Linked DNA regions of Elephas maximus indicus. The protein of the gene in region 3 purifies or fractionates together with the protein of the main gene of each other region. This does not show direct contact. Links are inferred from orthologs where the notes say so. Each region holds a gene or a part of one and is shown on either strand. Other genes may lie near its edges. The genes, in order: PRKAA2, PFDN1, PRKAG3 and PIP4P2.

Region 1 (7,322 bases), on a different chromosome or scaffold from region 3:
ATTTGCTGAGGTTTGTGGTATTTATAAGCTTTTTAAAATTTGTAGATGGTTGTGATTTTTTTTCATTTCAAGTAAATATTCATTTTCATACTCAATTTTGTATTTTTTTCCTAAAAGATATCCCTCCAAATTGTGCAAACTTCAGGAGCCACAGAACCTGAACCTATTTGAGTCCCATAATGCGCTGGGTACTGCTCTGGGAGCTAAGGATACATAGTGAACAAAACAGAGAACAAGAAAAAAAAAACAAAAACAAAAAAAAACTCTCTTTTGTGTAACTTACATTCTAATTGGGGAAGACAGACAAAACGAAAACATAATAAAGAAGTAAATTAAACAGGATGTTAGAAGGCAAGTGCCATGGAAAAATACTGAAGAAAATAGAAGGGATATAGAGTGCAGAGCAGGGAGCATGGCTGAAGTGAAACTGCAAATTTAAATAGGGTGGTCAGGGCAGGCCTCAGTGTGAAGGTGACTCTGAGCAAATACTTGTAGGAATTGATATTACCAATGGAATCTAGTATAATACATTAGATTAGTGGCACTCCGTTATTCTCCCATTTGGGTCCTTCTTTAGGCTACCAAAGTAAAATAAACCCAAAGGCCCTTTAACAAACCAGTTGCCATTGAATCTTACCCATGGAGACTTCGTGTGTGTAGAGCAGAACTGCGTTCCATAGTGTTTTCAAGGCTAGGACCTTTTGGAAGCAGATTACCACGGCTTTCTTCCAAGGTGCCTCTAGGTGGGTTCGAGCTGCCAACCTTTTGGTTAGTAGTCAAGTGCTTAACTGATTTCACCACCAGGGACACCAAAGACCATTAGTAGGAAGGAAAATTAATAACGGTTGGAACAAAGTTAAGAACTGTTTGGCTACCTGGAGTTGGCCATCTTAGGGCTTGGTGCTAAACAACATAAGGACACTAAAACATCACTGAAAAATAATAAAATGAGGGATATTACATTTTTGAAAAAGTCTTTTGGGAATGAGACCCCGAAGGATATGACTCTTTTTTGTTTTTATATAGAGACCAAAGTTTTATTAGTGGTTACGAGGGGCAGGAGGGAGTGAAAATGGGGAGTCGTTTAGGAAGCAGTGAGTTTCTGTTTATGATGATAGAAAATTTGGCAGTGGATATTGGTGATGGTTGCATATCACGTTAATACAATTGATGTCACTAAACTGTACATGTGAAAGATGCGAAATTGGCAAATGTTGTATAATGTATATTTTTACAATAGGGAAAAAAAGCGTCAGAGCAGGAAATGCTGTGTCGGTACTAAAACAGAGTCAGGTAGTGAGAGCTTTTCCCTCCCTGACTTAGTGGCTTCCTCTGCCCACCTCCAAATCTGCTGTGACCAAACCACTAGTGAGTTGTGAAATCTTCCCACAGAGCTTTTATTGTTCTAGATATTTTTTTGGATTACTTGGTTTGGATCTGCAGTTTAAAGGTGAGTTTGGAAATGTGAGATTCTGCATTGTGTTTCTAGTTCGTGTTGATTTACTTACTGTGATTTTTCCCCCCAAGAAGGAATGACTTTTGATAGGTTCCTGATTTCAGAGAACCCACAGCAGTTTTATATTGATAATTAGAAATAGATCAGTGATGTCATAGAAGATTAATAATGACCAAGTAGGTGCCAAGGATATGACTCTTTAGGAGATTTGGTTTGGTTAACTGTTATGTTTTGCCTGCTGAGTAGGGTGATGAAAATAGGAAACCATACATGAAGTGTTCATGGCAACAGAAGAAAGACTAGTACTGCCATCAAGAGTTGTCCTTTTCCATTGTACCTATTAAGCCTTTAATCTTTCCTTTAAGTTGGGAAAATCAATGGAAAATACGTTTAAAGGGCATATTATTGGCTTATCCTAAAAATAATAAAAACAGAATGGGACTACAATTGTGAAAATTTGAAGCTTTCTTAGAGTACTATACATTCTTTTTTCCTAAGCAGCTGTGATATAGAAAAAAAAAAAAATGGATGAGTCAGCACTGGATATTTGATTCTGCTTAAAAACGGGAAAACATTTCTGAAGCTTAGTTTTATTACCTATAAAACAATAAATTTCTTCTATGAAAATTAAATGGGATAACTGGGTTTAAATGAACTCTTTAATCAACCAAGCAGCATACATAATAATGCTACATAGACTTATGCAATGATTATAGACATGACATATATAATAATTTAAATTGTAATTATCAATGAATAGTGGTATTAGGCACTGGGTTAGTGGTATAAAAATGCTGTAAAAACTCAATCTATAATCTTTCTTCACACAGCTTCAAGAAATGAATCTAACTACAAATGAAAACTTTTTGGCTTCTTTTAATGGGGTGTTAGAATAAAAGGCCAAGATCCCTGCTGGTGCAAACAGTTAAGCGTTCAGCTGCTAACTGAAAGGCTGGCAGTTCAAACCCATCCAGTGCCTTCTCAGGAGAAAGACCTGGTGTCTGCTTCCTTAAAGATTACAACCAAAAGAACCCTACGGGGCAGTTCTACTCTGTCACATGGGGTCACTATTGAGTCGAAATCAACTCCACAGCACCTAATAATGGGAATAAAAGACAGACATACACCTTATTACCTTAAAAACAGAGTAGGTACTTTATTTTCTTACTCATTTTAAAGAATATTGAAGGATTGACCCCTAACCAAATGAAAGTTCAGCATCAAAATGACTATTTTCTCCAAATTGCCAGCTCAGTTGAGTGATTCTTAAATACTTCTTGTCAGAAAGAAAGATGATGTGAAGAATGAACAAAAATAGCTCTGTTCAACAGCTGTGATATCTATAATTTATCAGCTGTGATCATCTCTCAGCAGATTGTCTTGGTGTCTAAAGAAGAATGAAAGTGTATTTTCCATTTGTATATGAAGTACTTCAAAGAAAACAAACTTCTCTTATACCTATTTTTTCTTAGCCATACATTTCTCTTTACATACAAGCAGCGTGCTAAGGGACCTCATGTTTGAAGAATGTGAGCTTAGACTCTATTGACACATACGGTGTTATAAATGTTTAATTAAAAACAAACAAACGAACAAAAAACCAAACCCGGTACAACCCCATGTGTTACAGAGTAAAACTGCTCCATAGGGTTTTCTTGGCTGTAATCTTTATGGAAGCAGATCACCAGGCCTTTCTTCTGTGAGGCTGCTAGGTGGGTTTGAACTCCAACTTCTAAGTTAGTAGTCAAGCACTAACTTTTGCACCACTCAGCTACCTAAATGTTCATCTAATCTTTAATAATTTGTCCCTAAACAGTAAATAATCTTGTTAAGTACTGAAAGGTATGACCACATTAAGGAAAGAAGGAAATAATTTCACTGCCAAATTGTCAGTCTTTAACACTCTGCCTGGGTGTCATGCCTCTAGTTTCCACTTACTATTTTTCTTTCACTTCTATCTTTATCATATTTATTATTTCTTTGATTTGGGCCATTTTATTGCCCTTGCTCTTCACAATTCCTCTTTGCCTCTTAGGTACTTTACTTTCTATGCTTATTACATTCAGTTTTCATTTCTTTCACTCTTTTTCCTTTGTACAGCTCTGTCACATACTAGTATTTTTGTACTACAGATTTACCTGAGCATGTGCTGAAGTACAACCGAGCAAACACTGTGACTTTGATTTATTGGAAAACTTTGTGCAAATTAGTTAAAATTGAGAGCTCTGGAGAAGAGGGTCTCTTCCATCTACACGGCAAAATAACTGGGAATTATAAAATATGTAAAGAACAATTAAGGAAAGCATAGAATTGGGTTCTGTATGTACCACGGCCAATCAAAAAACAGCCAGGTCCTGTCTCGAGAAACTTCCTTTAGCTCTCCTCAGACTGCCGTTTGATCAAGGTCCTTCCCACCACCCTCCCTGGACTTTCCGCACACCCACAGCGTATGTATATATCTATGTGTATCGATGGCACTAGTTTTTTTTTTTTTATTTTTTATATACCCATAGATATATATTTTTTACATCCCTTCCTGCTACTTTCACGTTTTTCCATTTCCGAAGATTCTTCCCAAATCTCACCTTCGCACTGTCACCGCCTTCAGTTTTCCTCATAAGGGGTTCCCGGGCCGTGTCCCTTTATCCCCCTCCTCGCAGCACCTGCCTGTTTTTGACCCTATTTCGGACTTCCCACACCTGGCTCGGGACCCCTCCCTCAAATCCTCCTGAGACGCCGCGTTCACTCCTGGCCCGGGCCCACGACCTCGCCGCCTCGCCGCCTCGCCGCCTCGGGCCCCGCACACAGACGTCTCTCACGCGCGGGCGCGGGAGCGTCCGCCTCCCCACACGTCCTCTCTACGGTGCGAGCGCCCGGCTCGCCGCCCGTTTCGCGTTTCCCACCTCGGCCAGGCCCCTCCTCTTCGCCACCTCCCGTCCTCCCGGGACCCGCGCCCGCACCGGTCACCGCCGCCTGCGCCCCTCGGCGTCTCCCGACTCGGCCCCCGCCCTCCGCAGGTCCCGCTGCACTGTGGGTAGGCGGCAGCGGCGGCGTCCGCGTCCGCGTCCGCACTGAGGAGCCGCCGGCCGCACCGGGCTGCGGGCGCCGAAGATGGCTGAGAAGCAGAAGCACGATGGGCGGGTGAAGATCGGACACTACGTGCTCGGGGACACGCTGGGCGTCGGCACCTTCGGCAAAGTGAAGAGTTGAGTATGCGCTCGAGGCCGCCGCGCGGGGCTGCCCGAGGCGCTGGAGGTCGGGCCGAGCCGGGAGAACCGCGGGAACCGCTGGAGCCCCGGGCCGCGGGAGGACGGGCGGGCGGGCGGACGGGCGGGGTGCAGGGCCTGGCGGCAGGTGGAGCGGCCCGGGGCCGCGCGGAGCTTGGTGGCTCCGGGAAGGGGTCGGGCGAAGAGGAGCGAGGGTGTGGGTGCAGGGGACATTTGACCCGGGTTCCTGGTACGGTGCCGATTTCACTTTCCAGTGGTCTGGAGCAAGGCACTTCTCACTTCCCCGGACCTCAGTTTCCTCGCCTGTAAAAATGGGAGACTGGAATAATACATCTTACTGATTACTGAGTTTCTTTTACGGGCCAGATGCCCTGTTAGGTGCTTTTAGTGTGATCTTTAATCCCAATTTGGTGAAGATATCTTCACTGCAAAGGTGAGAAAACTGGGATCCGTGGAGGTTTAGTAACATGCCCAAGGTCACACAAATTGGCAGAACCAGGATGAAGTCTAAGATGTCTTCCAATTCTGGCATTGCTGGGAGTTCCCTGCCATTCCTAGATTCTTTAATGCTGAGTCTCAGTTGGTGGGGCTGGAGGTTTAGCGGATGCTCCAGGGGCCAGGAGGTGGGTAGGTCTTTTTGCTGGCTATGTGAAATGCTGGAATACCGCTGGATTAAGTCATGGGTTAATTAGAAATGGGAGATTGGTTGGTGTTTGTCAAAGGAAGGTTTCTGGGATGGGGAAAAGGAATAAGGTTTGTTGGTACTGAACTTTTGAAGATTTGGGCTCAGAGGGGCAAACCTGCCAAGGCATATACTGCTGACGTCTGTTTTCTTGATGATAGGATCCCATTTTGGGGCTACTTTTGGAATTTTCTACTTCTTAACTAGTTATGTATAAACACCCCCCCCCCCCATAAGAGTCACTTGGGCTTTACTTAACATGTCTTCTCTCCAGAACTAGAGCCAGTTTATTAAAAGTATTTTCTGTTTGATTGTTGAAGGGTTGACTTTTTGTTTGTTTGTTTCTTCTGTAGAAAATGTTAGGTAGATAGTTTGGACATTTTATTCTGAGGTCTCTATTTTCTTCTAAAATCATGCTTTAGCTTCAAGTCCAGACCGTTGAATAGGTAGAAGAGACTCATTGTTCCCAAATTCCTGTGGTAAGGATCAGTTTCTATTTACTTTTCCATTTTTTAATGTCCATTCATTTGTTCAGAAAGCAGTTAATGAGCACCTACAGTGTGCTAGGCACTGTTCTAGGTAATGGAAATACAGCAAGGAACAAAATCAGGAAGGCAAACAATAATCAAAATATATGTAAAATATATAGTATGTTTAGATTGTAGTAAGTGTTATTGAGAAAAATGAAGTAAGGTAGGGAGAATAGGGAGTTTTGTGAGGTGTGCAATTTTCAATAAGGAGGTTAGGAAGGGGCTCACAAAGTGATATTTGTGTAAAGACCTTAAGAAGGTTGCGAGCTTCTCTGAAGTACCATGAAGGCTATAAAGTCCTGAATTACCTTTGAAAAACCTCATAGAGTAGATAGAATATGTTTAGAATGAATATAGGAAGATCAGATGTTGGATTAATACCTGTAACGTTAACTTGTTATTATCATTATCGAGGACTATTGTATTACAACATCATGCAGTTACTCAAACAAACAATGCCTTTGCCATCTGGACGTGTACACTCTGGAAATTATATAACTTACTCCTTGTCCTTTTAAATTGTTAAATTTTTTTTTTTTTTTTTAATTTTCTCCACTGTAATCTGAATGTAGACTAGAATACCCATCAGATCAATTACCCATTGTCAAAGGATGACTTAAATTGCTTTTGTATATACTGTTGAGCTACTGCCAGGCACTAGCTTCTTAAAGTTCCAACAGAAGGAACTTTGATTTACAAGAAATCCTTTTCTGGAGAACCCCTGTCCAGTGAATAAACAATAGGAGCAGGTTTCCTAACACTGTGTTAGATCCTCTCTGAAGTTATGCTGTGGTTTCCCATCAAAGATTAGGATCAGTAGAATTGTTTGTTTAATAAAAAATATAGAACTTACTACAATTCTCAGTTACTCATTTAATTCAAGACAAATGAAGGAAAAGCACACCCATTTTTTAAAGCAGCTTTATTGAGGTATATTTTATGTATTATATTTATACCCATTTCAAGTGTACAAATCAGTGATTTTTAGCAACTTTATCAAGTGTTACAGCCATCATCATAAATCAACTGTAGAACATTTTCATGCCCACAGTAAGATCTCTCATGTTCATTTACAGTTAATTCTCATTCCCACCCCTGCCCTAGGAAACCACTGATCTATTTTCCTCTGTATAAATTTGATTTTTCTGGACATTTTGTAATTTTATGTAAATGGGATCATTCACTATGGCATCTCTTGTATCTGACTTCTTTAGAGTACTCTTTCTGAGGTTCATGCATGATATAACATGCTGAATAATATTCCATTGTATGGATATGCTATTGGTAAATTGTTTTCACCAGTTGATGGACAATAATTATTTTCAGTTTTGGGTTATTACAAGTTATGCCACTATGAACATTTGCATGTGCATGTAAGTTTTTATGTGGACATATGTTTTCATGTGTCTTGGGTAGATATCTAGGGA
Region 2 (7,734 bases), on a different chromosome or scaffold from region 3:
TCGACCTTTTTGGTTAGCATCCGTAGGTCTTAACCACTACACCACTACGGTTTCTTTTCATGAGACATCCCAGTTAATCACCCTAATACGTTTAGTGCTTCTATTCTACCTTCTAGTTCATTGTGTAGTTGGTGCCTGAGGTTTTAAAAGCTTACAAGCAGCCATCCGAGATACAACAATTGGTCTCTATTTGCCTGGAGCAACAGAGGAAGAAGGAGAGTCAGTAATAGAAGGAAGGAACGGAATGTGAGGCTGATTGCCTCCATGAACAACTGCCTCCTTTGCCATGAGACGAGAAGAAGTGGATGGTGCCTCGCTACCATTACTAAACATTTTGATCAAAGATTCCATAGAAGATTCTGATCAAAAGGGGGGAAAAGCAGAATGAAATTTCGAATTCTCATAGAAACCATATTTTCTGGAGTCATAAAGGCTGGATGAACCCCTGAAATGATTGCCCTGAGGTAATCCTAAACCTTAAACCAAAAATATTCCCTGAAGTCTTCTTAAAACCAAACGATAGTTTTGCTTAACTAGTAAAGAATGACTTGAGCATTGTGCTCTTTTATGATCTATCTATATGGTATGAAACTCACAGCAGCAACTTGAAAGATTACAAAGGAAACTTAGACAGCAGTGAATTTATATTAATGGGGAGGAATAACTCAGAAAAAGAGGGTGAGAATGGTTGCACAACTCGAAGAATGTTATCAATGTCACTGAGTTGTATATGTAGAAACTGTTGAATTAGTGTATGTTCTGGTATGTATATGCTCAGCAACAACAAAAATAAAATAAATCATATATTAATGTAAAAAAAGAAAGTTTATTCCTCAAAGACTTAATAAGAGAACCTACTGAAGGATTTATTTCATCAAGAAGGAAGTTAAACCAAGGAGGAAGGAGTGGGATGCAAAAAGAAACAATGAACAAAAGATTGAGAGAAGACTCTTGCCTAAGGGCACATTGATCTTTTTTTTTTTTTAAAATTGTAGTTTAGACGAATGTTCACAGAACAAACCAGCATCTCATTAAATAGTATACATAGTGTTTTATGACACTGGTTAACAACCCCACGACATGTCAACACTCTCCCCTCTGGACCTTGAGTTCCCTGTTATCAGCTTTGCTATACTCTCTAGCCCTCCAGTCCCTGCCTCTGGGCTGGTGTTCCCCTTTAGCCATGTTTTGTTTTATGGGCCTGTCCAGTCTTTGGGGGCACATTGATATTAAGGAGTCAGTACTTGAACCTAAACTGTCTGACCTTAGCCCGTACTTTCATGTTACATACTTTTTTTTTTTTCATGAGGAGCGTTTCAAAATCACATGATGAAATGCACAGCAAAGTATCCGAAACCTTCAAATTTCAATATTGTCACTATTATTGATCATCTATAATTTTTATAATGAAGTTCTAAGAAGGCAGTAGAGGATCTAAAATTATGAATTAGGCCTGTTTTTCTGTAAAGTTAGAGAGTGATGACAGTTTTCTTCTTCTGAAGAATTCATTTATATCCAAGATTTCTTATGTATTTCTTTCCTGTGAGGCACTATGATAGGTGTTCTGGGGTAAGGGGTGTAAGAACAAATAAAAAATGTTTCAAAAAATAAGGTAGAAACTGTTACACGCCTGTATGAATTACGTGTCTGTCTATCTGCCTTACACATACAGACGGTCTGTGCCTCAAACTTTCAGGCAGCCACAGACTGCTAGGAATGAGGCATGTACACCCACTGACATCACCAATTCTATGGGTGTTACATTCATCTGTTTCGAGCTGGACATATGAGGCACTTATACAATGTTGGGAAAGTGAAAGCCATTATTATTTATAGAAAGCAAACAGTAAATAGTAACAACGGATTCACCAAAGGAGAATCGCTTACCCTTCCCCAAATTATCCATGTCCATCTTATGTTGCAGGGCAGGACTGCCATAGTTCAGGTCAGATGTCAGATGCTGTTTTCATGTCACTGCTGCCTCTGGCTACCACCATGATGCTTGTGGGGTCCTGTATGGCTCCTGAGGCCTCTGCTGCCACTGGGCCTTGCTGGCCTTTACTGCTGGCTCCTGCCACACTACCCAGGCTTGCAGGGCTCTCTTGCCTCCACATTACCTGGGCCCCTGCTGCCCAGGGAGGGAGGTGTGCAACCACTGCAGAGGCACACTCAGGCCTCTCTTCCCTGCAGGAGCAAGCGTTACCAGCTCTTTTAGCTCTGCTGGAATCGACTCGATGGTACTGGGTTTTGTGGCAAGCCTCCTGGCCAAAGGCTCCCGGCTTCGCCCTGCAGTAGGAATATTGCACAGGGTCATCCAAGGCAACCCCTGCATGGGACACACTCAGACATCCGCCCTGCACAGGCAAGTGTTACAGCTATTTTAGCTCTGCCTGTAAGTCTTCTGCTCGAAGGTGCTCAGCTCTCACTCTGTGGGCCTGCAACCCCACCACAGCCACCTTGCTCAGTGGGCTGACATGCTCACAGCCACTGTCTCTTGCCATCTCATGCTGTCTTCAGTGTTTGCTTTCTTTTTGGTTGAGGAGGTTCTCATGGAAGGGACCCAAAGGTCCTTGGTCCAAAGGACGTGCTCTGCTCAAGACTCTTCTTCCTGATGGTAGTGAGGTCCCCTGAACCTCTATGTGATTGGCCCTTATGTAAGGAAACCCCTTGTCAATTTCCAGTCATGGCCCTCCCACCAGGACCACAAACTGACCAATCCCCTTGGTAGACCATAGTCACTCCATTTGCATAGTTCCAGCCAATCATTTTGTGGGAGTACAAGACCATGGCTAGAAGAGCCATGTGAAAGTGATTCATTGCACCACAGTGCCCTGAGAGAGAAACAGATATAGTCTTGAGGGAATTTAGAGGAGGGATTATCTTTGGTGTGTGTGATAGGTTATGTAAGGATCAAAAAAGACATAACGGAAGAGGTGGCATGTTTGCTGGACCTTGAAGGGCAAACAGGATAATATTAACTACAGCAACTATCTATTATCTACTGTGTGCACGGTGCTGTCCTTGGAACTTTCATCCTGATCCCATTTTCTGCACAATAACCCTGTTAGATCGATATTGTTATTCCTAAGTGAAATATGAGGAGATTGAAGCTCATCAAGGATAAATGAATTGCTGAGACACACAGTTAGTAAATGGAACCAAATAGACCTAAGCTCAATGTAGGCCAAGCCCTGAATCCAGATCCAGAATTTTGCTCGTTCCAAATTCCCTGATCTTCCCTCTCCCTCAGTTTTTAGGGTAGATAAAACATCTATTTCCTCCATTTCAAAAAGTCCAAATACTATTCATTCCTCTAGTTCAAATGTCAGGTCCTTTTAGAGCAGAAATTCTCAAAATGTGGCCCACTAATGCCTTGCATTAGGTCATCAGAGAGTTTGCAAAATGCTTATTTTCAGGCCCCACTGTCAAAGATTTTAAGTACGTTTGGGATGCCACCACCAGACTGCCATTTTGTAGTTCTGTGGTGGTTCACATGTTGCTATGATGCTGGAAATTATGCCACTAGTATTTCAAGTACCAGCAGGGTCACTCATAGTGGACAGGTCTAAGTTGAGCTTCTAGATTAAGACAGATGAAGAAGAGAAGCCTGGAAATTTACTTCCGAAAATTAGCCAATGAAAACCTTAGGGATCACAACAGAATATTGTCCGATATAGTGGAAAATAAGCCCCCTAGGTGAAATGGCACTACACAATGGCTGCAACAACGGACTCAAACATACCGACGATCATAAATATGGCATAGCACAGGACCAGGCAACGCTTCCTTCTGTTACGCATAATGTCGCCATGAGTCAAAGCAGACTCCATGGCAACTAACAAGTTCCGGATGAGGCCCAGGAAACATGTATTTTTTCAATAAACTTACTGGATTTCTCTCGAGAACCACTTTGTCTAGGTCTTCAGAGAGCACTCAGCAGCATGAAAGTAGCATGCCTGAGGCGAGGGACCCATTCTTACTCATCCCTGTCAGCACAGGGACCTGCTGGAGGACTGAAAAACTGAAGGTTTGGTCTGATATACATACATCTCAATTTAGCAGTACAAACTAAGCTATTTGTCAATTTTTTTAAGCCCATACACGTAGTCTGTGCGTTGGGCCGTGTCTGAAGGATGGAGAAGAGCAACTCAAGCCTGATAAGCCATGTGGGGAAGACAGACTCTGAGGCCAGACCAACCGCTCAGAGACCGCCTCACTCACGCGCAGGCGTAGAAGGAAGGCGAACAGGCAGTTTCTTCAGGGCGCGCCCTTCCCCCGTCTCCTTTCCGGCCTTCTCCCAATACGCAGGCGCACAAAGTCAGCCAAGATGGCGGCCCCCGTGGATCTGGAGTTGAAGAAGGTAAAAGAGGGTTTTGAGCGGGTAGAGGTTTCTCTTTCGAAACTGAGGGGCCTGTAGACAAGAGTATCGACTGAGGCCCGAGTTCCACAGAAAAAAAAAAAGAGGCTCCAGGGGACTGGGAAGTGGTTTCCCAGAATCCTAAGGCGGGACCGGGTCTCCTTAGGCTTGGGTAAGGGGGGGAGGGGGCGAGTGGCTCTTGCTGGATAGGAGCCGGTTGGGTGGGTCTCTTTAAGTCTGCGGACCGATCGCTGGCTTGTCCCTCGTTCTGAGCTCCAGAGCCGTTTTGTTGCGCTAGGAACCTTCAGGGACTCAGTTCTATAGTAAAACTCGAAGAGAGCGTTTCAGATTGGAGCTCCTTCGGGCGGCTTGCTTGAACTGCAATTCTGCCGCTTCATTTGATTTGAAAAACTCCAGTCCAACTTGTCTTTTTAGGCCATTTATTCGATTCCATGGAGCCCTGCGGTGTAGTGGTTAAGAGCTGAGCTACTAACCAAAAGGTCATCAGTTCGAATCCACCAGCCGCTCCTTGGAAACCATATTGGGGCAGCTCTACTGTCCTGTAGGGTCGCTATGAGTCTGTCTCGACTCGACGGCGACAGTTTTTTAATTTTTTTATTTGATTCCGTACCTCGAAAGGTTGCAGTCTCTGCAGCTCAGAAAGTCAGGTATTTTCATAGGAATGTTCATATCAGGACTTTGACCCCCTTTTCTTTTTCGGAAAAACCAAAAAAACTTGTTGCTGTTAAGTCAGTTTCGACTCATAGCGACCTTATAGGACAGAGTAGGACTGACCTGTAGGGCTTCCAAGGAGCAGCGGGTGAATTCGAACTGCAGACCTTTTGGTTAGCAGCTGAGCTCATAACCACTGAGTTACCAGGGCTCCTTTTTGGGAAAGATTTGACAAAAAAAGTAATTAAGTCCAGTAAAGTTTTACCAATGAAAGAGATATCAGAAGGAATTGGGTTTCTTTGTTAAAATAATTGCTTAAAAATGTGTTACTCAGATTTTGTTATCTAAGAGTTGCCAGGTTTCTAACACCGCTGAACACATTGGTGCCTAGTCGAGTCTGACTCAGTGACTCTATAGGACAGAGTAGAACTGCCCCATAGGGTTTCCAAGGCCGTAATCTTTACAGGAGCAGGTCACCACATCTTTCTTCCACGTAAGAGCCAGTGGGTTGGAACCAGCAACCTTGCAGTTAGGAGCCGAGCCTTAACCATGCCACTGGGGCTCCTAACCCTAACCATCCAAAACCATACCATTTTTTCGGAGGGAGGTTGGAAAGGACCTTGGAAATCATCTAGCTTAAATGTATACTTCTCTAGAAAAGGAAACTGAGTTCCAGAAAAGTTATAGTCAAAGATTGGCACTAGAATCCGGTATTCTTTATCTTACCCCACACTTTTTTGACCATTAATTTAGGTTCTTGAGAAGTCCATCATATTACTTCTTGAGACTGCCTTCTGGTCAGCCTTTGCATAAGAAATCAAACCCCAGAACCAAACCCGTTGCTGTTGAGTTGATTCCAACTCATAGCAACCATATAGGACAGAGTGGAACTGCTCAATAGGGTTTCCAAGGAGCAGCTAGTGGATTTGAACTGCCAGCCTTTTTGTTGACAGCCCAGCTCTTAACCACTGTGCTACCAGGGCTTGTGCATAAGAAATAGGACAGCTGAAATAGCTGTTGCTCCTAATAAATGAAGCTGTTTGTTATTTCTGTGAGGATTTTGTGTGTTTGTGTCTTTTTTTGCCATTTTTTGTCTTAAAACCCGTAAATTTAGCCCTTATGTAGTGTTCTCTAGTGCTGTAATAGCTTTAACAATATACGAGCTTCCTTAACAAACTGTGTTGAGAACAATCAGGTAATACCTGGAATTTTACATTTCAGAACACTATCAGACTGCATTCCAAAATTATACCTTTTTTTTCTGTTAAAAGTTCAAATTTAGTAGTTTACTGAAAGATCTAACAAGGGAGTTTAAGTGTGAATGGACTTTACAGTATTATTTGAATTTACTACAAAAAAAACTAAATGGACTTACCCTGTAATATTAATTTGTTGCTAAGAAACATGTAGACAAAGATGTAAATGAGAATGATACTTAAATTGGATAGTTCTGACAACCAATTAAAGAAAAAAAAAACCCGGCAAACTTGTTCAAAGGTTTCATCTTCTAATGTTTTTTCAAGATCTTTTTTTGGATGGAGACTAATGGGAAATTTTAGGTGCCTTCCCTCCCCCCAAACAAATCTTTTGATACCTTACTAGTAGGTGAGAACAAAGTCAGAATAAAAGTTAAGTAGTAGTCTTTGCCATGTACTGTAGTCACAAATGTTATTAGTAAGGCTTAAGTTTGACAGCATGTGGAAGTCATTCCAGGCACTTCAATAAGAGTATCCAAGACCTGTGTTTATGTTCAAGTTAAGTAAGCATACACAGGGTAGAGTTTGGCTTGGCATGTGTGTATGAAGAGCATGACACAATTCTTCTACCAGTGCTTTGCATTTTCTATCTTTTTTGGTGTTTCTCTTAAAAAATATCCATATTCTGAATAATACTGAAGACAGTAAAATGGAAGATGCCTGAAATAGGGGTCAAAAGAAATGGATTTAAGTACCTGCCTTTCACCTAATAGTTGTGCAACCCTGTGCACAAATCTCCTAATGATTTTAGTCACTTTGTAAATTGTGGAAGTTGAGACTGCTGTTCTTAATTCATAGGGTTATTGAGAGGAGTGAGATATTTAATAGATATTCTCATATTAATATTCAAATTAATGTGGGAGAATGCTTTGAAACTTAGAAGTATGATACAAATGTAGTGAGTTGTTACATTTCTTGTTCTTGTTTTTAATCTTTGGGTTTTCTCTTCTAACTTGCATTTATTACTCTGGGTGCTTGCGACTTGTTACAGTTACTGTTTAATGTGCATTTCTTCTGCTTGTTTCAATACATTGGATCTTCAGAGGGCAGTGTAAATTCAGTGTTTAGCATAGTGCCTTGATCGTTTACAGTTACATTGATTTTTATTGATGTTTGCATTGGTAAATTTCACAGCTTTGTCTGGGTTTTGCGTGTTTTATTTTATTTTATTTGAATTTGACTTAAATGTTTCCTGTAAAATATTTTACTTACTAAATCAGGACTTGTTTTTATTAGGCCTTTTCAGAGCTTCAAGCCAAAGTTATTGACACTCAACAGAAGGTGAAGCTTGCAGACATACAGATTGAACAGCTAAGCAGAACGAAAAAGCATGCGCATCTTACAGATACAGAGATTATGACTTTGGTAGATGAGACTAACATGTATGAAGGTGTAGGAAGAATGTAAGTAAAGTACGTCCTTACAAGGTTATCTTGGTTGTCTGAGTTA
Region 3 (7,336 bases):
TCTAATACGCCTTAGAATAAATGCAAAACTCCTAAAGTATTTGTTCATGCGCCATTAGAATCACATCCCATACTGTGGGTGATACATATATGATGCTTTGGGAAACACTGCTCTGCTGTAATGATGGTAAGACTTGAAGCATAGACACTTTGTAGTTTGGTTGAGTGGAAAACAGGGACCAGAGTTCATTCCCTACTCCTTGTCCTGAGAGACTCTGCAGTGTCTTACACGTGCTTCTCTGTCTATAAATTGTTCCCGTTTACAATGGGTGGTCCCAGCAGTGCTCTCTAACAGGTAGGGCATAGCAGGCATTCATATACCCATTTCAGGAATGAGAGAGGTAAAGTAGCTGAACCAAGGTCCCACAGATAGTAGGTGGCAGTGCTGGGATGACAATCAGGTGGTGTTCAAAGAAAACATAAACCCTCCCTCCACCCACTCACTGGTCTCCATGGAGCTAAGAAGGAACCTTCGAAGGGGACATGCAGGGGAATGTGGCAGTGCTGTGAGAATGGAGACTGAGCTTAGTGGGACAGAGCTGTGCCTCACCTCCAGCATGGTGTCAAAGATGACCAGCTTGGAGCTGGTTGCCATGGCATCATAGCAGGTGTGCTCCTGCATGAAGTGCATGTAGACCTGGGCCCCGGGCTTCCGAAGTTCGTCGTCCCAGCCCATCTTGGGCAGCGGAAACTTTGGGGACGGGCATGGGGAGGGCCTGTCTTCCACTAGGCGTTCGAGCTCATATCCACCGTCTGGTGTGGCTGGGAACTCTATGTTCAGCGCCAGATCATCTGTGCTGGAGCCCCCAGCTGAGATGGCACAGTCAGGGGGCAGGAGGTCCCACCCTGTTGGCGGGGTGCCTGGGCAGGCCAGGGGAGCAGCTTGGGCCAAGGGTGTGGCCTTGGGGAATGTGGCCTCTGGCTTGGTGGATTCAGCAGCTGGCCTGGATGGGAAACCTGTGGAGAGGGGAGGGAGGACATTAACTCCATCTTCCGAAGCACTTGGGAAGCCTGGCTGCTGTGGCCCCCATTTTGCAGGTGAGAAAGCTGAGGCTCAGAGTCACACAACAAGGTAGTGGCTCTGTCCTGTCTTTCTGAGTTGGCCACACTGGGCCCCTGGGTAGACTGAGTCTACAAGATGAAGGTTGGGTCCAACTCTGTGTTATGGACAGACTCAGGGCACAGTCCAGCCCCACACTCTGGGAGTTCCTACAGCCACCACTCCCCCCTCCTCCAGCACTGACCTTGGCCTCACCTTTCCCCAGGCCTGGCAGCTCCCCTTCCTCCACAACCTCCTGCCTTGTCCATTTGGAGGCCTTGGCCCCCTGTTTCCCACAGGTTCTTTCTGACCTGGTGGTCATGGTGGGTGATGACCATGAGGCACTATCTCCTTGCCCTAGGAAGCTCATCTCTGGAAGGAGAATGGGGTCTATTTGGTTAATGGGGAGTGACACAACAAAATCAATAAAGTTTAATTAATAACGATATTTGCAAGATTCTAAAGGGCTTTTCTCCAACACTTTTCTCATATAAACCTCATAGCAGCCCTATAAGGGAGGCATTGTTGTCATTGCTATTTTACTAGTGAGGGACCTGAAGTTCAGAGAGGTTAAGCAATTTGCTACAAATCACACAATTAGTAAGTGGTGAAGTCAGGACTGGGGTCCAAGTCTTCAGACTTCAGATTCTTCCTCTCTTCTTCTGGAAGAAGGAAAGAGGAGGTGAGGAAAGCAACAACTGGGGAAAGGAGGAAGTGGAGACAGAGGGAGAAGGAAGGAAAAGGAGAGGGAGATAAAAGCCAGGCTGGTGGGAGGGGGGAAATTGGGGTCACAGAGAGGTAGGGGGCAAAGGGAGTCAGGGAAAGGTTAGGCCCCCTGGGAGAGGGGCAGGACCACCTACCTCGATGTTCAGGCTCTCCAAGTCTGCTCCAGGATGGGGTCTGTGGGGAGAAGTATGTCTGATGGGGAGGGGAAAACTCCTTAAGTTCTTAAACCACAGGACCTCCCCTCCCCACCACACACACATACACACACACTTACTCATATACATATACACAGACACACACATACCCATACACATAGACACACAGACGCAAAAACACACATACACACAGACACACAAATACCCATATACACATACACAGGCACACACACACATACATACACACCCCCACACACAGAGACACACATAAACACATACGCAGCCATACACAAACACTAATATCCAACCACTCAGATGCACACAGAACTACATACACTCACGAATGTACAGACACAGACACCCACAAGCTGACATACACAGAGACAATCCAGACCAAATACACACATGCTCTCTCTCTCTAGCCAAATGTGCTCTCATCCTCTGCCCCAGCTGCCCCAGCTGCCGCCCGTCTGAGACCCCTATACCCTGCTCAGTGTGTGCTCCGGCTCGTGCTCCATGCAGCCAGCCCTGGACCCACGGAGAGTGAGTCCGCGACACTGTGGCTGGGTAGCACTATTCTGGGCCTGGCCTCTGGCACCCTGCCCTCTCCGGATCGGTTTCCTTCTGATTGGGTGTCAGGCTGTGGGGAGGGAGGGGTCCATCCACCCAGCTGCTCCAGCCCAGCGGCCTGGGGGGCAGGTGGGGAGAAAGGGGAGCATGTGGACATCTTGATGCCTGGCCCCTAATTGCCTCCTGGGTCTCTGAGGACAGGTTACATGAGAAACTGCCTGGGGGAGGCCCCTGGAGCATTGTGGGGGCATGGGGCTGGGAGGAGGCGGGTTTCAGAGTTCCAGCTTCCTACTCTGAGAGCCTCTGTCACTTTTGTCAGGCTCCAAAGGAGGGAAAATGGAGGTGGGTTGGGCCTGACTTTCTCCACTTGAGTTGGAAAGTGCAAGCTACCTGCTCAGAGGCTGGGGATAACCCAAGAGGCTTGTGGGTGATCCTGGGAGAGGCGCCAATATCTGTCCAGAGGTTCTCATTTGAGTCTCAAGAGTCTGTCCCTCTCTCTGGACGAGGGGCTGGAGTGGGGGTAGTTCGGGCAGGTGGGGAGCTGTGGGGATCACCTTGAAGCTATGGGGTGGCATTGAGGGCTAAGGGCCTGTACTTCTTCACAGGGTGAGACACCTGTTCTTACCTGCGGTTGGGAGGTATGTCTGGGTGTGCAGGAGCCTCGGCAACCCCACAGACTGCGTGTGTTGTCCCTGCAATTCCTGGAGCCAGCGGGATCCCAGCCTGACTCTGTAGGCTGCCCACCCCCACCCTACTTGGCATTCCTGGGGCCTGAGTCAATGTCCAAATAGGGAATGCTGACCCAGCTGCTCCAGCTCCCCTCTCCCTGCCCCTCCCTTCCTCTCCTCCTTCTAGCCTCTTCCATCCCAGTCCCTGGCCCTGCAGTGGACACTCAGGAATGGATCCATGGATTTCTTGCATCATCCCTCAAAACCCATGTGCTGCGTGTGGGGCGTGGATAAGAACAGAGAAGGGGAAGACTTTGCCTTTCATATGTATCGTGAAAGGGGATGTGTGCAGCCCTTCTCCCACTTCCCCATTTGACCCTCTGGAGATCCCTGTGGCCTGGCCCTATCTGGCCACAGATGATGGAATTTCCAATGTACTGCTAATGTGGATGCCTCAGATGGTAGAAAGACCAAGTGGACCATCTTTGGTTATATGTAATGCAGTGGACCTGGAAAGCCCCCTCAATCCCTGCCCCACCTCCTTATGCTTGGAAAAACTCCGACCGTTGGTGTGTGTTAGCTATGTCTTGCTGCTAGTAGCAAAGTTCTACAAGAGAGATGCGCTCAGGTTAAATAGAGGAGGTGGTTGAGAAGAGGCTGCCTTAGCAAGGGCTGCACATGTGGTCCATAGCCTTTCTTAAGCACAAACTGTTGAGCAGAATCAGAATAATGGAGTGTCTTCACAGCCAAGCATGTTTTCTCAGATGGCCTCAAGATAACCACCAGTAGTTTGAAAGAGGGGAGAATAGGAAGAATATCAAGTATAGCATATTCAAGCGTAAAATTGATGTCTACACAGTACTGTTGACTGTGGTTACTCAAATAAGGAACTGGTCAGAAGCCTTCTAAGAATTTGAGGGCATTGTATTGAAAAAGAAACCAGGAACCTGATCAGCAAAGTCTAGCTTGACTCCCCCCAAATGCCCCCAAACCCCAAGTCTGTACCAGCAGAAAGAGGCCTATGAGAACTGTGGGGTCCACAAGGAGGACACGTTCTCCAATGGGCCACAAGGATAATGGGTAAGGAATAATTCCTAGGAGGCAAAGCCAGAGGCCATACCGGGGAGTGGAAAGGGGTAATCCTCCCAGAGAACAGAACCAGAGGTGGCCAGATACACTGACCAAGAACTTACTCCACTGCCAGGAAGGGGCTTTGTAATCCCTGCCCAGCTGGTTTTAGTAATTGTTAAGTTCAGTGAGTGATGGGTGTTTGCCATTCTTTGCTATCCTGAGTGGATGTTTTAATTGAGCTGTCCAGTTCCTGTTCCACTTTTGTTATGGGGAATGGAGGGGTATACTTCCGCCTTTCAATTTTTAGGTCACCAGACCATGAGGAACCCCATCCAGACCTGGTAGAGAGGACTGCTCAGAGATCCTGGACTCTGAGCTGTGTGCTGTCCCAACTGGAACTTTGTCTTGCCTCCCTTGGAGGAGTGGTGAATGTGTTCTTTGTGTGGGGTAGCCAGGCAGTGGGCTCTGACAGAGCAATATCTATTCTCCTCTTCTTGCTCTGCTAGTAAATCCTTAAGATTTTAGCTGAGCACAAGATTATATTTCCCAGCTTCCTTTAGAGATAGTGGAAACCCTGATGGATCAGTGGTTAAGTGCTATGGCTGCTAACCAAGGGGTCAGCAGTTCAAATCCACCAGGAGCTCTTTGGAAACTCTATGGGGCAGTTCTACTCTGCCCTATAGGGTTACTATATGTTGGAATCAACTTGATGGCAATGGTTTTTTACACACAGTATGACTATGTGACTTAAGTTTGGCCAATCAGATGTGAGCAACAATGTGGTTTGCAACTCTTAAGGGTGCCCTTAAAAGGAAGTGGCAGATTTTCCCCTTCCTACTGACTTTTTTTACTGACTGGAATCATGATATGATGGTGGGAGCTTGAGCAGCTATTTGAACCCAACCATGGAAGACAGATGTTGAAAATGATAGAACCTCCCCCAGCCCCATCCTGGCCACCTAATTTTGTAGAGAAATAACTGTCTGTCTTGTTTAAGCCACTGATAAGTTGCGCCTTTGCTACAGCCACCAAGCCTCTCTCTAACTCATACATCTACCTGTATCACAGATTGGGGTAGGATTAGAAATTACATATGTCTGTAATAACCCTTAATGTTTATGCAGAAAAAAGCCCTGGCAATCTACTTCTCAAAAACCAGCCATTGAAAACCCTACGGAGCACAGTTCTGCTCTGACACAAAGTGGGGTCACTGTAAGTTGACATCAACTTGGTGGCACCTGGTTGGTTGTTGTAAGTGGTTACTATTGTTATTACCTTGCCACCTGCTTCACAGTTCTCCTAGACCTCCAGCTACGAGGCTCTGAAGGCAGGCAGGCATGAGAGGGCTCTGACTCTAGTAGTTATTACTTGGTGGCGTCAAAGGTGGAGTAGAGAAGGGCCTCAGAGGAGGGGGCAAACCCCGCACTGCTCAACACCAAAATCATAGTGATTTTGTGCCCTTCTCCTGCCTCTGCCCTGCCCCTGCGCTCTCCCTGCTCCTTTGCCCGCGCTGACCCTGCTCTAACCCTATCCTCCTGCCCCTGCCTTATCCCTGCCCCGCCCCTGCCCAGTCTCTGTCCTCCTGCCCCTATGAATCCCCGCCCTGCCCCTGCTTTGCCCTCATTTTACCCTGGCCCTGGTCCTTGCCTCAGAACTCTAACACCTGCTCTTGCTGCCAGCCTACCCGCCACCCATCCTCTTTGGCAGGGAGAATCAGCAGAAGGTGCTGGCTTCGGATGGATAATAAATACTTCTCAGGTGATTGATTTTAGCCTCTGGTCATGGCATCATATTTCTTGAAATCTTACTTCTTGGCTTGCTTGCAGAACTGGGTGTAAAATAAGGACCCTGCACCCTGACCCTAGGGTGAATTTGGCTGCCATCTCTGGATAGCTGATTTGTCTGGGACATGGGGTCAGGGATCCTGTTTAAATGTTATTTTTATATCAGAGGGAGAAAAACAGCTTGAGGAGGCCAAGAGAGTTGCCTCAATGAGACCTATGACTGATAAATCTCAAATGGGGTCCCCTCGTGTCAGAGTGGTTGGAAGCACCCTTCATGCCATTCACCCAGACACTCCAGCTCCCGTCCTGTCTGTGTGGGTGAAAGAGAGCTGCATCTGTGCCTGTGTTCCAAGGACCTGTCAGAATCAGCACCTTGTTAGTACAGCCTACCCCAGGCACCCTTATTGAGCCTTTTTCTGTGAGCTGTTGGGGATCATAGTGGAGAGATGGTGCTTTTATCTACCCAGTACCCATGTACCCCTCTTTTGGAAAATCCCTGAGTTTTCCTTCAGGGAACCACACTTCCCCCAATCTTAGAGCTTGTGATTTGGGAAGGGTCAACTGTGGGCCCCAGGAAGGATGCCTTTGATTCAGACTTAGTCAATTAACACACAAATTCCCCCGGTCACATTGGTTGGGAGGACATTGACAGAATTGGTACAATAGGGATGAATCCTGGGACTTTTGCTAGGCCTAATGGAGAGGAATTTCTTTCCCCTGGATTTGGAGCTGTGAGGATGTAAGCGTAGAGATTCTGGAGGCTACCATGAAGAGAGGGCCTATCTGAGAATGAAGCCTAAACAGAGGGCAAAAGAGCCATGATATGATGAGAAAGACTAAGTCTTCCTAACATTCATTGAGCCCCTAGATCAAACTATACCTGAAGACCCATCACTGAATTTTTCAATTAGAGCAACCAATAGACTCTTTCTTGGCTTAATGAGGTTTGAATTGAGTCTTCTGTCACCTGCAGCTGAAAGGGTTCTAACTGACACTGGAACTAACAAAGTATCAGAAGGCCTAGACACCTTCAAAGACTTCTGTAGTGATGTTTATACCACTACATTTTCCCAAGAAAAAGACTGCACATTTGAAAAAGCAATAATAGTAAACCAGTAGGGTATCCATGGGGTAAAAAAATACTTGGGGAAAATAGAGTAAAAGAAGGATTGGGATGAGACAAGTTTGATGAAGGAAGGCTTCCTAAAGAAGGTGCATTGGGATATGGATATGCCAGTGTGGGAAGATGATGACTGAGGACCAAATACCTCCCCTGGTGCCCCAGACCTCAGCCTTACCTAAGTACTCAGGAACTTAGACAATC
Region 4 (7,404 bases), on a different chromosome or scaffold from region 3:
GGGGCAGTTCTACTCTGTGCTATAGGGTCGCTATGAGTCCGAGCAGTGGGTTTGTGGGTTTTTAACAACAAAAACATGCTTATGTACCTTCCAGTCCAAACCCCATCTTCTCCTTCCCCTCCCCCATCCTTATGGGAGAGTTTATTGCTATTATTCTGACCCAGTTTCATTGTTATATGTTGGGGTAAGAGCAATAAGGAGGGCTTACAATTTGTTTTTTTAGTTTACAGGCCTGTGAATCAACAGATAATGTACCTGTGGAACCAAACACATGGAGCCTTGTCTGCATCTGGACTTAATTTGGATGACATAATCCTGGACTTCGGTGATTAAATGAAATGTTGGGGTCTTGGGAATAGAAAAGTGTAGTTTGCTTGTAGGACAGACATGAATCATTGTAGGCAGAGGGAAGATTGATACATAGTTATATAATGGTTTTCGATGAATCACGACTTCATGTGTTCCATGCCCCTTTGCAATGTGACATTGCAGATGAAGAGACTTCCTTTGACCAATAGAATGTGGTGGAAGTGAATTTGTTTGAGAACCAGAGCCTAGACCTTAAGAGGCCTCATGGCTTCCACCTTGCCCTCATAGAAACTGCTTTGAGACTAACAGACATGAAGAAGCCTGTAATGAAAGACTATACCCGGCCATCCCAGCTGTTGCAACCAAGCCCAGCTCCCAGCCCACCTGCCAGCTGAACATACCTGCATGAGTAAGCCCAAGCGAGGTTGACAGAATAACCACCCAATCAACCTACAGAATCATAAGAAATAATAAATCACATTGTTTTAAGGCACTGGTCTTTGGTGTGATTTGTTACTCAGCGGTAGGTAACTGGAACACTAGCTTAAGCACAGTACATTTCCTACTCCCTCATAAATTATCTGTTTATATAGCACCTTTTATTCCAACATACACATCAGTTCATCTCATCAGTAGAAATGGCAAAGTGCCACAATCATAAAAATGCCTTTGACTGATGAATATTAGTTAACATTTACTGAGCAACCCTAAAATTCTGTATTCTCTTTAAACTAGAATGAAATGATACTCATCTAATACAAGTTTTTTTGCTTTCTGTGAAACAACATTGCTGCAAATAAAATCTCAGTATACCTACTACCTTTTTAAATATTGCAAGAAGAGTAATTGTCATTAGCTGTCACTCTCAAATGAATTTTTGAGAATCTATGTAATGGAAGAAGGCAACAACAACAAAAAAAAACCTCTTCTACTGAACATGATGTGGGCAATATAGAAACCCTAGTTATAGAGATATACTAGAAAACAAAAACACTGGGCAGTCAGATGGCAAAACTGTCATCATCAAAAAGCTGAGAATTTCTCCTAATTTTCTTGTGAAATAATTTGTTCTAGTAAGCTTCTGGGACTGTGGAGAATTTATTTTTTCACTCATTCCTCTCTCTGGCAAATATTGAGTGCCTATTTTACTACATGCCAGGAACTGTGCTAGATACCGGAGATATAATAGTGAATGAGATATATATGGCTTCTGACCTCACAAAATCAGTTGGGAGTGGAGGGTGGGTAATGGGAAGTAAACAAAAGAATGTGCTAAGTGATACGATAACCTGTTGCCATCATGCTGATTCTGACTCATAGTGACCATATAGGACAGAGTAGAACTGCCCCACAGTGTTTTCAATGTTGTAAATGTTTACAGAAGAGAAGCAGATTGCTACTACATCCTTCTGAGGAGCACCTGGTGGGTTCCAACTGCTGTCCTTTTAGTTAGCAGCAGTGTGCTTAACCACTGCACCACCAGGGCTCCTCCAAGTGACATGATAGGACACTATAAATAAAAAAAAAAAAACATAGTAACAGGATTTTAGTGACTCTTATTAAAAAGTTTTCTTTAACTTGATAGCACCCAGACTGCTATTGTAACAAGGCTGTTTGTTTTGTAAATGTCAGGCACTTTGGCAGGGAGGGCTACATCTTGACCCCTCCCCTTCCAGGTTCCTCCAAAAAACCAAACCAAACTCATTGCCATCAAGTAGATTCTGACTCTTAGTGATCCTATAGGACAGAGTAGAACTGCCCCATAGGGTTTCCAAGGAGCGGCTGGTGGTTTTGAACTGCTGACCTTGTGGTTTGCACCTGAACGCTTAATCACTGCACCAATAAATGTCCTTGGATTATATTACATGGGGATCCTTATATTGTATCCTGATTTTACTGACCCACAAAAGCTGCCACAAAATAGAAAATACCATTCTTTTATTTCCCCTTAGGATTTCTAGCTGATGCCTAAGTGGATTTTCTGGAAGAAAGAGTACAGTGTGTCTTCAGAGAGCAAAACCAAGACCATTCTTAATGTAATGTGAAAAGTAGTTTCAAATGTCTAAAGTCTGCTTTTCCTCATGCTCCTTTAAAACTACATCTAGGACTACCAGCTTCATCTTTGGTTTCTTTTCTGACTGTGTGATCTTTTAGGCATCTTGAGGACAGGGACCATGCCCTATTCATCATCTCTGTAGACCCAGTAAATGCAATAAATGTTTGTTGAATGACTCAAAGACTCATTGCAGGAAAATTATCATTGGAGACCGTTACTATTTTCCTGTAATATTATTATCTGGGCATGTTCAAAACTTTGATTTGTTTTTGTATTTTATGCAAATCACTCCCTAGGATAATATGGCAATCAAAAAATAAAAATATACACAGAAAGCAAGAAATGTACTTATATTTGTTTACTCATTTACATGTAAAAGTTTATTTTAAAATATTAATTATCTCAAGAAACTTGTTTTTAATTGTCCTACGTTATTTTTAAACTTCATTACTGTACAGGCAGTCTCCGGATTAGGAATGGGTTCTGTTCCTAATCTGTCATTAAAAGTCAAATTGTGGTAAGTTGGAATAGTTAGTTATGGTTGATATCTAACTGTCAGTTAGTCAAATGTTTGTTTTAGTATATAGTATTTTTTTTTTATTTTTTATTTATATAGTGCATCTTTCTATGCATAAAAAAAATTAAAGAAACACTTCCAGATACTCAAATATCTTTATCTAAGGTCAGTGGTGGTAGCTGGGCACCATGTAGTTCTTCTGGGCTCAGGCTGGTAGAGGCTCTGATTCATGTGGTTCTTTAGTCCTTTGGGCTAATATTTTCCTTGTGTCTTTGGCTTTCTTCATTCTCATTTGCTCCAGCTGGGATGGGACCAATAGGTGGCTGCTCACGAGCTTTTAAGGCCCCAGGCACTACTCATCAAAGTAGGATGTAGAACATTTTCTTTATGAATTATTGATCTAGAAGTCCCATGACAGTACAGTTCCCAGCCCCAGCAACTCAGTCCCTCATGGTATTTGGGTATGTCTAGAAGCTTCTATGACTTTGCCTTGGTCAAGTTGTGCTGACTTCCCATATATTGTGTGTTGTCTTTCTCAGCACCAAAATTGACACTTGTCTATTATCTAATTAGTGATTTCCCCCTCCCCAACCCTCCCCACTAATAATAATGCTTGATGTGAGGCACCCATTTGTTTTTAGGAACCATTGTATGTACCACAAAATTTTAATATACTAGGCTTTGCGGGGGGTGGGGGGGATGTTGGTTAGTTGTAGTGAGTTGTATGAAAGTCGGACATTCGTAACCTGGGGCTGCCTGTGTGTGTAAGATAGCAACCTATTTCGTAAAATGAGACTTAAAGAAGCCAACGCACTATGTACGGCTTTAATTAGGTACTTATTACTAGAGTGCCAAACAGGTATTAAAAAATGCAGTAAGAGAAAGCAGGGTATGCCAACACATTCAAAAATGTATACTTCCTCTTAGACTGGAGATGTTGAAAAGCTTTTGCATGACAAAAGATGAACCTCTCAAAAAAGAATTGACAACCCTAGGAATAAACTTTTTTCATATAATTGCTGCAAAGTTTGATAGCAAAGAGTCCCTCTTCCTCCCCAGAGGGACTAAACTTGATATCTGTGTTTGCTCTAGTTTTCCTGTAATCAAGTCACAGCCCGTTTTCAGGTTGCCCTTTCCCCTCCTTTTCCTTACTTAAGAAAATGCAAAATACAAAGAAAAGAAGAGTTGTATAGCCCCCTCTCCATCTACTCCGCCCCTTTTTTGGTTACTTCGCACCTTCCTTTTCCCACATTTCCCAGTCCGTCCTAATGTGTTCCTTTTTTCTCTGTGGGGCTTGGCTCCTGCTCCTCCCTTTCTTCCCCTCCTCCTCTCCCAGTCCCTTTCTTTCTTCTCTCCACCTCCTCTAGTCATGCTTCCCGGCGCGCTTCCCCTCCCCCGCCTCCTGTTCCCGCATCTTCCCATCCCCCAGCCTTCTGCCTTGTGACACATCCTGGGCCCTCTTGGAGGCGGCAGCAGCGGCAGCGGCAGCAGCGGCAGTATTAGCATTAGACGCCACCTCCACCAAAGCCGCAACCCCGGCTCAGCCTCCCTCTGGCCTCGCTGCTGCTGCAGTCATGGCTGCTGATGGGGTGGACGAACGCTCGCCCCTGCTGTCAGCATCTCACTCGGGCAATGTCACTCCCACGGCCCCACCGTACTTACAAGAAAGCAGCCCCAGAGGTAAGGCCAGCCTAGACCTTTCTACTTTTGCAAGGAAAAGCCTAGAATCTAAAAGACCAGGGATGCTCAAGCTCAGAGGCGAAGGCGAGAATCTCACTTGGACTGGGGGAGAGGGAATGCCGACTGCCTTCTGAAGGAGAACCTTCCTGCCTAATAGCTTCTCCGCAGGGCTTCTCTCTGTGCGTGCGTGTGTGTGTGTGTGTGTGTGTGTTGTGTGTGTATTGTATGGTGTGTGTGTTTCATTACTTCTTGACCAGGGGTAAAGGATGTGCCATGAATTTCACGAGCTGGGCTTTGCTCCTCTTTTTAGAGCAACCCGTAAGTGCAGCTGGGAGGTGGTGCAAATCTTTCACAATCATTCACAAATCCTTTCGGGTTCCTGAGAAACTGGGAATATTGCTCACCTTGGTATCTGTCCTTGAAAGGGCTTCAGCTTGTAGAATATGCATCCCCTAACGTTCATCCACCAGGGCTCTGTTCAGTCAGGGAAGTACTTTATTTACCACAATGAATTTAGTTGAACAACATTCCTATTGTGTGTGAAAATCTCACCCTTCCTTATTGCTCCTATTTGTAGGGAGTATGTGTTGGCTTTTAGTTGTGAATGGGGAGGAAGAATCTAACTTTTGATAGAAAGAAAAATGGGATATTTTTGATGCGTATCTGGGTGAGGTTGAAATGAACTTCTAAAAAGTAATCCAAAATAATACAGCATACGTTTCTATTTATTGTTCTTCTCAAGATAGAATTAAAAAGGATTTGATGGCATTGGGGTCTAGAGAAAGAAAAGGTAATCTATTTAACAAACTGTTCAACCTATTCAAAGATCTATCTTTGTTCTAAGCCTTTCAGCTGATTCCTATAGTAGAAATAAAGAGGGGTCAGGGAGTTACAGAAAATGGAGGACAAGACTTTAAGAAACCACTTAGGGTAGTGAAAAACCAAAATCCAAACCCGTTGCCATTGAGTCGATTCTGACTCATAGCAACCCTATAGGACAGAACAGAATTGCCCCGCAGGGTTTTCAGGGAGTGGCTGGTGGGTTCCAACTGCGGACCTTTGGTTAGTAGCGAAACACTTAACCATTGCACCACCAGGGCCCCAGGTAGGGTTGTGAAAAGGTTGGCCACATATGGCCCTTGGAAATTTAGCTTTAAGAACATCTCTCTCCTTTTTAGCTGGTTGTGAAGAAAGTTTAAAAACCCAAGGAGACAAAAAGTTAATGCTTTTAAAAATACGAGCAGGTCATGTTTCTTGTAACAAAACTTCTTCTGAGTTCAAGCCTGGAATTGGAGCAGCTGTAGAGCAGGTTCAACTTGTCTAGCATTTAAAATTCCCATTCAACACATTATAACTTGAAAAGCAGCAACCTAAATCTTTATCCATACTTAAAAGAAGCAGGACAAAGAAAAAAGAAAAGTTTACCTGGGAATAATTCGGTGTGATGGATGAGTATGAAATAAAGCGCAAAATGGAACCGAGACTCAACTCACAGAAAACCCAGAAGTCATGTTGGTTGGTCAACATTAAACTTCTGTTAGAGGACTCCAAATGGAGGAATTTCCTTTAATGGAAAATTTGATATTAATAATAATAATAATAATACTGGGATTTTACTGTTATTTAAGTTATATTGTCTAGAATAGGTTTAAATATTCATCAGTGAATGTTTCAACTTCATCAAGTCACTCTTTTAAGACAAAATATTTCACAATTTATTAAGAGAGAGAGTTTGGATATAAGTCACTGTCCTATAGACTATCCTTTGTCTTTGATTCTTTTTGTTGCTGTTGTTGTATTTTTAGCTACCTAGTAGCTAAATTATTCCAAAAAATGATCATAGTCATTGACCTGATTGTATCATTTACCATACATTGATTGAAGCTGATAAAATTCCTCAAACTATACAATAAGGTACAAGTTCCAGTTTGGCAGTGGAGGAAAATTAGTTTCATTCTAGAAAATTTTTAGCAACCATAGAAATTTAATGATTTAGCAAAAAGGCCATTCTGCCTTAAGGTAAAATAGAATTTTTCTAACGTGTGAGATTAGATCATCAGGGAGGTGATTTTCCTATGGTGTAGTACCTATGAGGCAAGACCTATAAATGAGGGTTATAAATCCTAGACAAGTATTTTGCATTTGGGCAGAATATCTTTTCATAATAAATAACAAATAAGCATCTTCATAAAGTTTATTTTTTAATACTGTTTCATATTGATTGAATCAAAATAGTCTTAGTTCATATCGAAGGTTTAACTTTAGAAGACTGGTGCTGTTCATTCATTTAGTAATTTATTGGACACCACAATGTGCCAGGCGCTGCTCTAGATGAACAAAAAAAAAAATTAAAGATTGACCAGACCCAGGCCCTGGTGGAGCAGATGTTGTAGTGGGGGTGGGGACGGGGGAGGGGGGAGGGAGAAGAAGTAAATATATAAAAAATATATATATATATGACTTAGTTATTTCAGGTAGTAAGAGAAATTCTGTCACTACAGCAGATGTTTTTAGTAGTTGAAAGCAATTAGAGCTGAATGTTGAGATTCAAAAGAACAGAAATAGAATGTACTTTTTGATAATGAACTTTGGTTTATGATACCATTTATAATTACCCAGAATTTTTTTTTTTTTTTTTAAGGAAGAGCCGTAACTAGGGAATATTTTCTCCATTCCAACCCTTTGCTCTTTGTGTCACCATCTAAGAACAGCAACGTGAGCACCCATCCCAAAATACAACATTCCATGTCAGGTTGAAAGTTAGTGGAATGTTTTTTCTAGATAGGTTATTAATAATTTAGTGGGAAGCAGTATTATTAGCAATAGTTGTTGGTAGCTGCCA

Evidence for each region.
Region 1: the proteins of PRKAG3 (region 3) and PRKAA2 purify together in Homo sapiens (affinity purification with mass spectrometry; 3 studies listed by BioGRID and IntAct, counting the BioPlex papers as one, with this or other methods). This does not show direct contact. The link is inferred for Elephas maximus indicus from reciprocal best matches to the Homo sapiens genes PRKAG3 and PRKAA2.
Region 2: the proteins of PRKAG3 (region 3) and PFDN1 purify together in Homo sapiens (affinity purification with mass spectrometry; 3 studies listed by BioGRID and IntAct, counting the BioPlex papers as one, with this or other methods). This does not show direct contact. The link is inferred for Elephas maximus indicus from reciprocal best matches to the Homo sapiens genes PRKAG3 and PFDN1.
Region 4: the proteins of PRKAG3 (region 3) and PIP4P2 purify together in Homo sapiens (affinity purification with mass spectrometry; 3 studies listed by BioGRID and IntAct, with this or other methods). This does not show direct contact. The link is inferred for Elephas maximus indicus from reciprocal best matches to the Homo sapiens genes PRKAG3 and PIP4P2.

What each region holds. Positions count from the first base shown.
Region 1 is NC_064821.1:100,485,612-100,492,933, forward strand, and holds the start of PRKAA2 (5'-AMP-activated protein kinase catalytic subunit alpha-2), read left to right. Parts: upstream 1-4,250; 5' UTR 4,251-4,567; coding exon 4,568-4,661; intron 4,662-7,322. UniProt on the Homo sapiens protein: Catalytic subunit of AMP-activated protein kinase (AMPK), an energy sensor protein kinase that plays a key role in regulating cellular energy metabolism.
Region 2 is NC_064820.1:153,560,817-153,568,550, reverse strand, and holds the start of PFDN1 (prefoldin subunit 1), read left to right. Parts: upstream 1-4,295; 5' UTR 4,296-4,327; coding exon 4,328-4,360; intron 4,361-7,521; coding exon 7,522-7,688; intron 7,689-7,734. UniProt on the Homo sapiens protein: Binds specifically to cytosolic chaperonin (c-CPN) and transfers target proteins to it. Binds to nascent polypeptide chain and promotes folding in an environment in which there are many competing pathways for nonnative proteins.
Region 3 is NC_064824.1:117,394,852-117,402,187, forward strand, and holds the start of PRKAG3 (5'-AMP-activated protein kinase subunit gamma-3), read right to left. Parts: upstream 3,216-7,336; 5' UTR 3,115-3,215; intron 2,608-3,114; exon of another isoform or gene 2,560-2,607; 5' UTR 2,438-2,559; coding exon 2,405-2,437; intron 1,957-2,404; coding exon 1,899-1,956; intron 1,411-1,898; coding exon 1,255-1,410; intron 957-1,254; coding exon 550-956; intron 1-549. UniProt on the Homo sapiens protein: AMP/ATP-binding subunit of AMP-activated protein kinase (AMPK), an energy sensor protein kinase that plays a key role in regulating cellular energy metabolism.
Region 4 is NC_064833.1:50,887,449-50,894,852, forward strand, and holds the start of PIP4P2 (type 2 phosphatidylinositol 4,5-bisphosphate 4-phosphatase), read left to right. Parts: upstream 1-4,266; 5' UTR 4,267-4,456; coding exon 4,457-4,562; intron 4,563-7,404. UniProt on the Homo sapiens protein: Catalyzes the hydrolysis of phosphatidylinositol-4,5-bisphosphate (PtdIns-4,5-P2) to phosphatidylinositol-4-phosphate (PtdIns-4-P).